Ovis aries: one gene and its partner. The protein of the gene in region 1 purifies or fractionates together with the protein of each later gene. This does not show direct contact. Links are inferred from orthologs where the notes say so. Each region holds a gene or a part of one and is shown on either strand. Other genes may lie near its edges.

The links.
Region 2: the proteins of GOSR1 (region 1) and STX12 purify together in Homo sapiens (affinity purification with mass spectrometry; 3 studies listed by BioGRID and IntAct, counting the BioPlex papers as one, with this or other methods). This does not show direct contact. The link is inferred for Ovis aries from reciprocal best matches to the Homo sapiens genes GOSR1 and STX12.

Annotation. Positions count from the first base shown.
Region 1 is NC_056064.1:21,501,659-21,505,475, forward strand, and holds part of GOSR1 (Golgi SNAP receptor complex member 1), read left to right. Parts: intron 1-3,308; coding exon 3,309-3,522; 3' UTR 3,523-3,817. UniProt on the Homo sapiens protein: Involved in transport from the ER to the Golgi apparatus as well as in intra-Golgi transport. It belongs to a super-family of proteins called t-SNAREs or soluble NSF (N-ethylmaleimide-sensitive factor) attachment protein receptor.
Region 2 is NC_056055.1:239,319,001-239,322,917, forward strand, and holds the start of STX12 (syntaxin-12), read right to left. Parts: upstream 2,788-3,917; 5' UTR 2,694-2,787; coding exon 2,576-2,693; intron 1,888-2,575; exon of another isoform or gene 1,873-1,887; coding exon of another isoform or gene 1,827-1,872; intron 1-1,826. UniProt on the Homo sapiens protein: SNARE promoting fusion of transport vesicles with target membranes. Together with SNARE STX6, promotes movement of vesicles from endosomes to the cell membrane, and may therefore function in the endocytic recycling pathway.

The DNA of each region.
Region 1 (3,817 bases):
GGCTGAGCTCCTTCAGAATGGACTGGTTGGATCTCCTTGCAGTCCAAGGGACTCTCAAGAGTCTTCTCCAACACCACAGTTCAAAAGCAGTAATTCTTCAGTGCTCAGCTTTCTTCACAGTCCAACTCTCACATCCATACGTGACCACTGGAAAAACCATAGCCTTGACTAGACGGACTTTTGTTGGCAAAGTAATGTCTCTGCTTTTCAATATACTATCTAGGTTGATCATAACTTTCCTTCCAAGGAGTCAGCGTCTTTCAATTTCATGGCTGCAGTCACCATCTGCAGTGATTTTGGAGCCCCAAAATTAAAGTCTGACACTGTTTCCCCATCTATTTGCCATGAAGTGATGGGACCAGATGCCATGATCTTCGTTTTCTGAATGTTGAGCTTTAAGCCAACTTTTTCACTCTCCTCTTTCACTTTCATCAAGAGGCTTTTTAGTTCCTCTTCACTTTCTGCCATAAAGGTGGTGTCATCTGTATATCTGAGGTTATTGATATTTCTCCTGGCAATCTTGATTCCAGCTTGTGCTTTTTCCAGCCCAGTGTTTCTCATGATGTACTCTGCATATAAGTTAAATAAGCAGGGTGACAATATAGAGCCTTGACGTACTCCTTTTCCTATTTGGAACCAGTCTGTTGTTCCATGTCCAGTTCTAACTGTTGCTTGTGCTTTAGACCTGGTGCATTCACTGTCCGAGTCCTGGGATGTCTTTTTACCATTATCCTACAATGACCTCCTTAAATGGAATCACTTATTTCCAGGATTTACTGTCTTCTACTTTCTTAGTTTATCCTCTCATTATGTTGACCATGTTCTTTAGTAGCTTCCTCAGAAAGAATAAGAAGTAAATTTTATGGACTTTACACATCTCAAAAGAGTTTCTATTCTACTCATATTCTTTTTTTTTCCAATTTTATTTATTTCATTTTTGGCTGCACTAGGCCTTTGTTGCTTTGCATGGGCTTTCTCTGGTTGTGGTGGACTAATGCTGCTCTTCATTGCAGCGCGTGGGCTTCTCATTGTGGTAGCTTCTCTTGTTGCAGAGCACAGCCTCTAGGCACACAGGCTCAGTAGTTGCAGCTAGCAAGCCCTAGAGCATGGGCTCAGTGGTTGTGGCGCGTGAGCTTAGTTGCTCCACATGTGGAATCCTCCTGGACTAGGGATCAAACCCATGTCTCCTGCATTGGCAGGCAGATTCCCATCCCCCGGGCCCCAGGGAAGTCCCTATTCTACTCATATTCTTGATTCATTGTTTAGCTAAAAATCAGAATTGTAGGTTGAAAATAATTTTCTCATTTTTTAAGGCATTGTTTCCAGTACTGCTCTTTAAGTCCAGTACCAATTAAAATTTTCTGTCCTTCGTAAATGATGGGCTTCCCTTGTGGCTCAGCTGGTAAAGAATCCACCTGCAATTCGGGAGACCTGGGCTCAGTCCCTGGGTTGGGAAAATCCCCTGGAGAAGGGAAAGGCTACCCACTCCAGTATTCTGGCCTGGAAAATTCCATGGACGGTATAAGTTCATGGGGTCACCGAGAGTCAGACATGACTGAGCAACTTTCACTTTTCGTAAATGATGTTTTTTCCCTCTGGAATCTTTTAGAATCATCCCTTTTCCCCTGTGTTTTTGTTTGTATTTAATCTCACCATGATGAGGTTGACATGCATCATTTTTAGTCTGTTTGATGGGCTCTTACAATCTGAAAACTTATCTTTAGATCTGAGAAATTTTCTTACATTTATCATTTTCTTCCCTCCTCCTTCTTGATCTTCTTTTAAAAAATGTATGCAATTTATATTTGTCAAATATACCTAAATAAAGCAGGGAAGAAAAAGAATTCACCTAAAATACAACTACTACATTGGTTAATAATTTGGTGTGCTTCCATATTTTTCTCTCTGTAGCTCTTCATATCTGTGTAAAATGATTTTAAAAATATTAATATATTCATTTAAAAAGGCAGGTACATGTATAGTCATGCGTTTAGAAAAAGTGGAATGATATTAACCTTAGCAGGTTAGTTTGTGCCATCACCTAACTTATCCATGACTTAAAGCAGTAAGTTGTGACAGGGTCATATGGGTAAGTGTTAACCCATAAAAAGGGAAGGGGGTTTGCTTGTAGAGTGCTAGTTATAGACACTGCAGTGGGGTTCCTCTTCTTGACTAAGGATAAGAACTAGGAGGTCGAAATATATGATGGTCTAGGGAGCTGCCCTACTGTAGCCAGTTACTGAACGGTGGAACAACAACATGCATTTTTCCTGGTTCCTTTTATCTTTCAGTTTATATTTTTTTGAAGTGTAGTTCCTGTTGTTCAATTGCTAAGTCTTGTCTGACTCTTCATGACCCCATGGACTGCAGCATGCCAGGCCTCCTTGTCCCCCACTGTCTCCTGGAGTTTGCCCAAATTCATGTCCATTGCATCAGTGATGCCATCCAACCATCTCATCCTCTGTCAACCTCTTCTCCTTTTGCCTTGAAGCTTTCCCGGCATTGGGGTCTTTTCCAGTGAGTTGGCTTCTCACATCAGGTGGCCAAAGTATTGGAGTTTCATTTGTCCTTCCAATTAATATTCAGGGTTGATTTCCTTTAGGATTAACTGGATTGATGTTCTTGCAGTTCACTAGACTTTTAAGAGTCTTCTCCAGCACGCTTCGAAAACATCAGTTCTTTGGCACTTAGCCTTCTTTATGGTCCATCTCTCAAATCCATACATGGCTACTGCAAAACCATAGCTTTCACTGTATGGACCTTTGTCGGCAAAGTGATATCTCTGCTCTTTAATACACTGTCTAGTTGGTTCTCAAATAGAATTTTGGAATATAATCTTTTCATAAATTAAGGGCTGGTTGTATATAAATATTTTGTGATATACTACACATTTGGTTCTATTTTTATAATTGTAATTCCTTACTTCCCTCTCAAAGAGTTTTTCCTGATTAAGGATATTTTGGTAGCTGGCCCCTTTTAAAACCATTTTAAGAAGCTTTTGTAATGTATGATTTGTCAGTTGTGTTATTTCATTTGTTACTTTGAATTAAAAAAACAAAACAAAACAGGAAATGGTCCACTGCCTTGTCCAAAACAATATCAGAAGATAGCATTGGGGATAAAGTGATCAGAGAAAGAACAGTGGGAAGACGACTTGGGAATTCTTTTCATGTTCCTTCCCAGGTGCTTTTCAAAGCTGGTGTCGTTCACCTTCACCATAGTTTTCTGTTCATGTTTATGAGTACGATGAATCCATGCACGATTGTCTTAAATGTCAATTGATGAGCTTCTCTTTTTCTCCCTTGCAGCATTGCTATGGCAACAAAAGAAAATATGACTTCACAGAGAGGAATGTTGAAATCAATTCAGAGTAAAATGAACACTTTGGCTAGTATCCTTTTTGACGGTTTGAAATCTGTTTTTAGGGGGGAAAATCTCTGTGTGCTTCACCACTCTCTCCCTCCCCTGGGCAGATTGCCGTCAGTAGTGACAGTAGAGGTCATGTGTAATTCTGTATTGTGAATATGCCCTGCACTTGTACTTTGTGAAAGTTCATACTGTTTAGTGCCATTTCTAAAAGATAGCACACCAGAAGTTTCATACTAGTAGATCTCGAAAAAAAATGATAAATATAATTTCCAAGTTATTCACAAAACTATTTTGCATCTTAATAGCTCTTGAATCCACGTTAGAAGTCTACAGTGTACACTGTTTTTACACAGAGGTCATAAATTTTGTGCTTTTTCTTCTTTCTTTTTTCATTTTGGAGAATTAAGTCAGTGGCGTATGCTTAGAAAGGGAAGGAAGTAGCCATACA
Region 2 (3,917 bases), on another chromosome or scaffold:
CATAGCAGGTGCTCAAAGAATATCTGTTGAACAGCAAATGAGTGAATCTATCATATGGATAGATCTGAGGTAAGTACTAGAAATATAAAGATGAATAAGTCATGTCTCATTTCTTCAAAGGCACTAACAATCTAGCAGGAGAGGTAGACAGACCACAAGGGGAGAAAGTTCCACAGCTCAGGTATTCCCCATAGCTTCCTACGAAGAGTTCAAAAAAAAAAAAAAAGTCACTTCTCACCTGCTGAAGTGTTAACTGCTACAAAACTGTAATATTAATTAAAAATTTTAAGAAAGCTAAATGTTGGTCATAAGAGACAGATCTGGTTTCAAATTTCTTAGCCTGTTTCCTAACCCATAAAAAGAAATAATACTGGTAATTACTTCAAAGGGTTGTTACAAAATCAAGTTAGATAATGCCTGTAAAGCACTTATATCGCCTGGCACACAATATGCACCAAAAATGTTAGCTGTTAATGTTATTAATGGCTGAATCCAACTATTACTTGAGCCTGATGCCTAACCAAGAGCTAAATCTTATGAATTCTATCGCCAAAGACACCTCTCCTATTCTTTCTTTCTTTTCATTTTCAGTTCCTAACTGGTATCTCCGATTCCAGTCTCTCCCTTCCAACTCGATTTACACATTTCTACAGAATTAAATCCAAACCCATTAGGTTAGCACTTAAAGCCCTTCATATCTGGGTCCCAGCTTAAACTTTCCAAGTCTACTTTGCACTACGTTCTAGAATCCACCACGCTAGCCAAATTAAACAACTCTACTTTTCTATACACAGCACATGCTTTCCCCTACCATGCCTTGTTCATTTAATTCCCTCCTTAAATGCCCTTCTCCTATTTACTGTAAAAAGTTCAAATCCTTTCCACCATCTTTCCAGCCAGACCTAACTCAAATGCCATAATGCCTTCCCTGGTCCCTCCCACATGAAAAAGATGTCTCTCCTGACTACCTATAACTTTATTATATCTCTTCTATAGCACCAAATCCTTTCAGTTCCTATGTATGCCAAAGGCTCCCTGCCAGTTCTTATACACAGTACATGCATGATACTCAAATAAATGCATACAGACTGAACATTTCACAAAGAGACATTAAAATTAGATTTGGTCTCAACAACAAATTTTTGACTTTGAATCAGAATTTTCTGATCTAGCCTGTATTACAGCTCCCTCACAAAAGGAAACTGGAACACAAAGTACTATACTTCCTAACCAGTGGTCATATATTTAAAAAATATTTTTATATTTTGGCTGCACCGTGCAGCATATGGGATCTTAGTTCCCCAACCAGGGTTTGAACCTGTGCCCCATGCAGTGGAAGCATGGAGTCTTAAATTCCCTGGACCACCAGGACAATCCCACCAGTGGTCATATAAATTTTTGTTTCAAATTTCTGGATTTCACAGATGACATAGTCTTCTTTCCACTTCCAAGGCGCCAAGACTCAAATGATTTCCATCAGAAACTTTCCCTCTCTCAAATTCTACATTACATATTAAATTTAAAAGCTAAGTGGTATTTTTCTTTAAAATATAGAACACAATTGTGATTCAGGACCAACTAGTTCTACCTATTAACAAGGTACAGCCAAGCTCACAAAAACACAATAATAAACAACAAGGATGATGATACCATTCCTTCCAAGTAGTTGCTGCTGCTGCTGACCTCCTGTTTATAAGTCTCTGAGCTGATCTTCAGGCACAAGATTTAACTCATCTACAGTCTCATTTAGACCCTAACAGTGGGGAAGCAGTTTTAAGACAAGCAATGACATTCTGAAATCCACCACCAATTCTACCATGTCTTACTTGCTATGTGATTGTGGCCATGTCCCTGAGCTTCTCTGTGTATCATGCTTGTTCAAAAGAGTAACTAGATGGGGAAGGAAAACAAAAGACTCATCAGCTTGAAATCCAAAAACACGCAAATCTTCTGCTACAAAAGACAAAATACTGTAAACTGAAGTGTCTTTGGTGAATTCTCTTTTATTAAAATAGAAGTCATCTGACCCCTTGAATACAAATCATTGTAACTGACTTCCAAACATTACAGGAAGAATTGTATTAAAGTCACCAAAACACATGCATTCTCCACTCTGCTTAATTGAAAGCAGCTGACTTTCAAGAAGCCAGAAGCTGAGCGGAATGTAAAGTCTAAACCAGTAAACAACTCCCGATCCAAACTGGTCAAAGAGAAGTGGGTGGAGGGAAGCAGATGACAGGAAAAACTCGGCTGACCGCTGCATCAGGTCGACTCACTCACTGCTCTGGAGCAAACACACCCTCCCACCCTGGGGCTGTCAGAACTGCTGTCTTAGCCCCAAAACACCTTAAGGGCAGAACTCCTGAGAAGAAACTCGAGCTTCAGTTGAGGCGCCGGACCCGCAGGGTGCCTGGGCCTGGCAGATTAGGGGATGGCAGCCCACCGTGTCCAGAGCGGAGCGCCCGAGACGGCCTCAGGTGTGGCTTTGGCAGTAGCCCCGGCTGGGCTCCGCCGTCCCGGCAGCCTCGTCAGGACGGCCCCCGCCCCCCTCAGCCGCCGCGGTACCCCGGCTCACTGGCTTGGCTGATCCGCTGGATGTTGCCGCTGCACGTCTGGATGATGCTGTTGAAGTCCCGGAGCGGGGGCCCCGAGGCCCCCGGGTTCCGGTACATGTCTAAGGGACCGTAGGACATGACGAGGAGCAGACAGCGACTCGACCTGCACCGCGCTCCTACCGGAAACAGCCGCCAGACCCGACCCGCAGGCTGACAGGGAAACCGGGAAGAGAAAGGGCGGGGACGGGATGAAGCTGCGTGCGCACTAGCCCCGCCCCCTCGCGACGCGCTCGCGACCGCCCCGGCTCGACCCGCTCCGCATTTGCGCAGGCGCCGCCGGAGCTGGCGGCTGAAAGGTAGCTTAGAGACGCGACGCCCTGGAGTTTGCGGGGCGGAGCGATGACGTCATGCCGTTGGGACTTGGATGAGAGAATCTGGGGTGGCGGTGTTGTTTATTGTCAGGGCACGGCGACAGAAGGCAAGAATTTTTCGATTAGCATAAAATTGTACCAGATGATCTCAGCCCTAACATCCTATCCTGGTCTATTCTGAGAACTTAGGCCCAAATATGGAGAATTCGACAACCTTGAAACCCAGATCCGTAAACCAAACTCCTGAGATTCCTCACTGTTTTCATCCCCTAGGGTTTTGGGAGGATTTTTTAAGCACTTTTATGGTTTACAGATCACTTTCATTTCTCTCTCCACCCCTCTTCTAGTCTGCGTGCTTAGTCGCTCAGTCGTGTTCGACTCTTTGCGAACCTATGGGCTGTAGCCCGCCAGGTTCCTCTTGTCTCTGGAAGTTTCCAGGCAGGAATATGGGAGTGAGTTGTCATTTCCTTCTCCAGGGGATCTTTCCTCACCCAGGGATAGAACCAGCGTCTCTTGTGTCTCCTGGATTAGCAGGCGGATACTTAATCAGTGCGCCACCTGGGAAGCCTAAACAATAAAATAATAATAGTAATGAAAAGATTTTTAAAGCACATATTATGTGTGACACACACACACACACCCCACTGCAGTTCAGTTATTCATAAGCTGTTTCACGCCAAGGGACGATGTCCTAACTATTCTTACCTTCAGACTAGATAACGGACCCTATGGACTGTAGACCACCACGCCCCTCCATCCGTGGGATTTTCCAGGCAAGAGTACTGGAGTGGGTTGCCATTTCCTTCTCCAGAGGATCTTCCCAACCTGGCTTTCCGGCATTGTAGGCAGATGCTTTACCATCTGAGCCACCAGGGAAGTCATAGATAATGGACAATCTATTTTTAAATATTGAAGTAAAGTAACAGAACAAGCATGATCATTTTCCCTATTTCAGGTGAGAAAGTTAATGCCACAGAGGTTAATTTGCTTT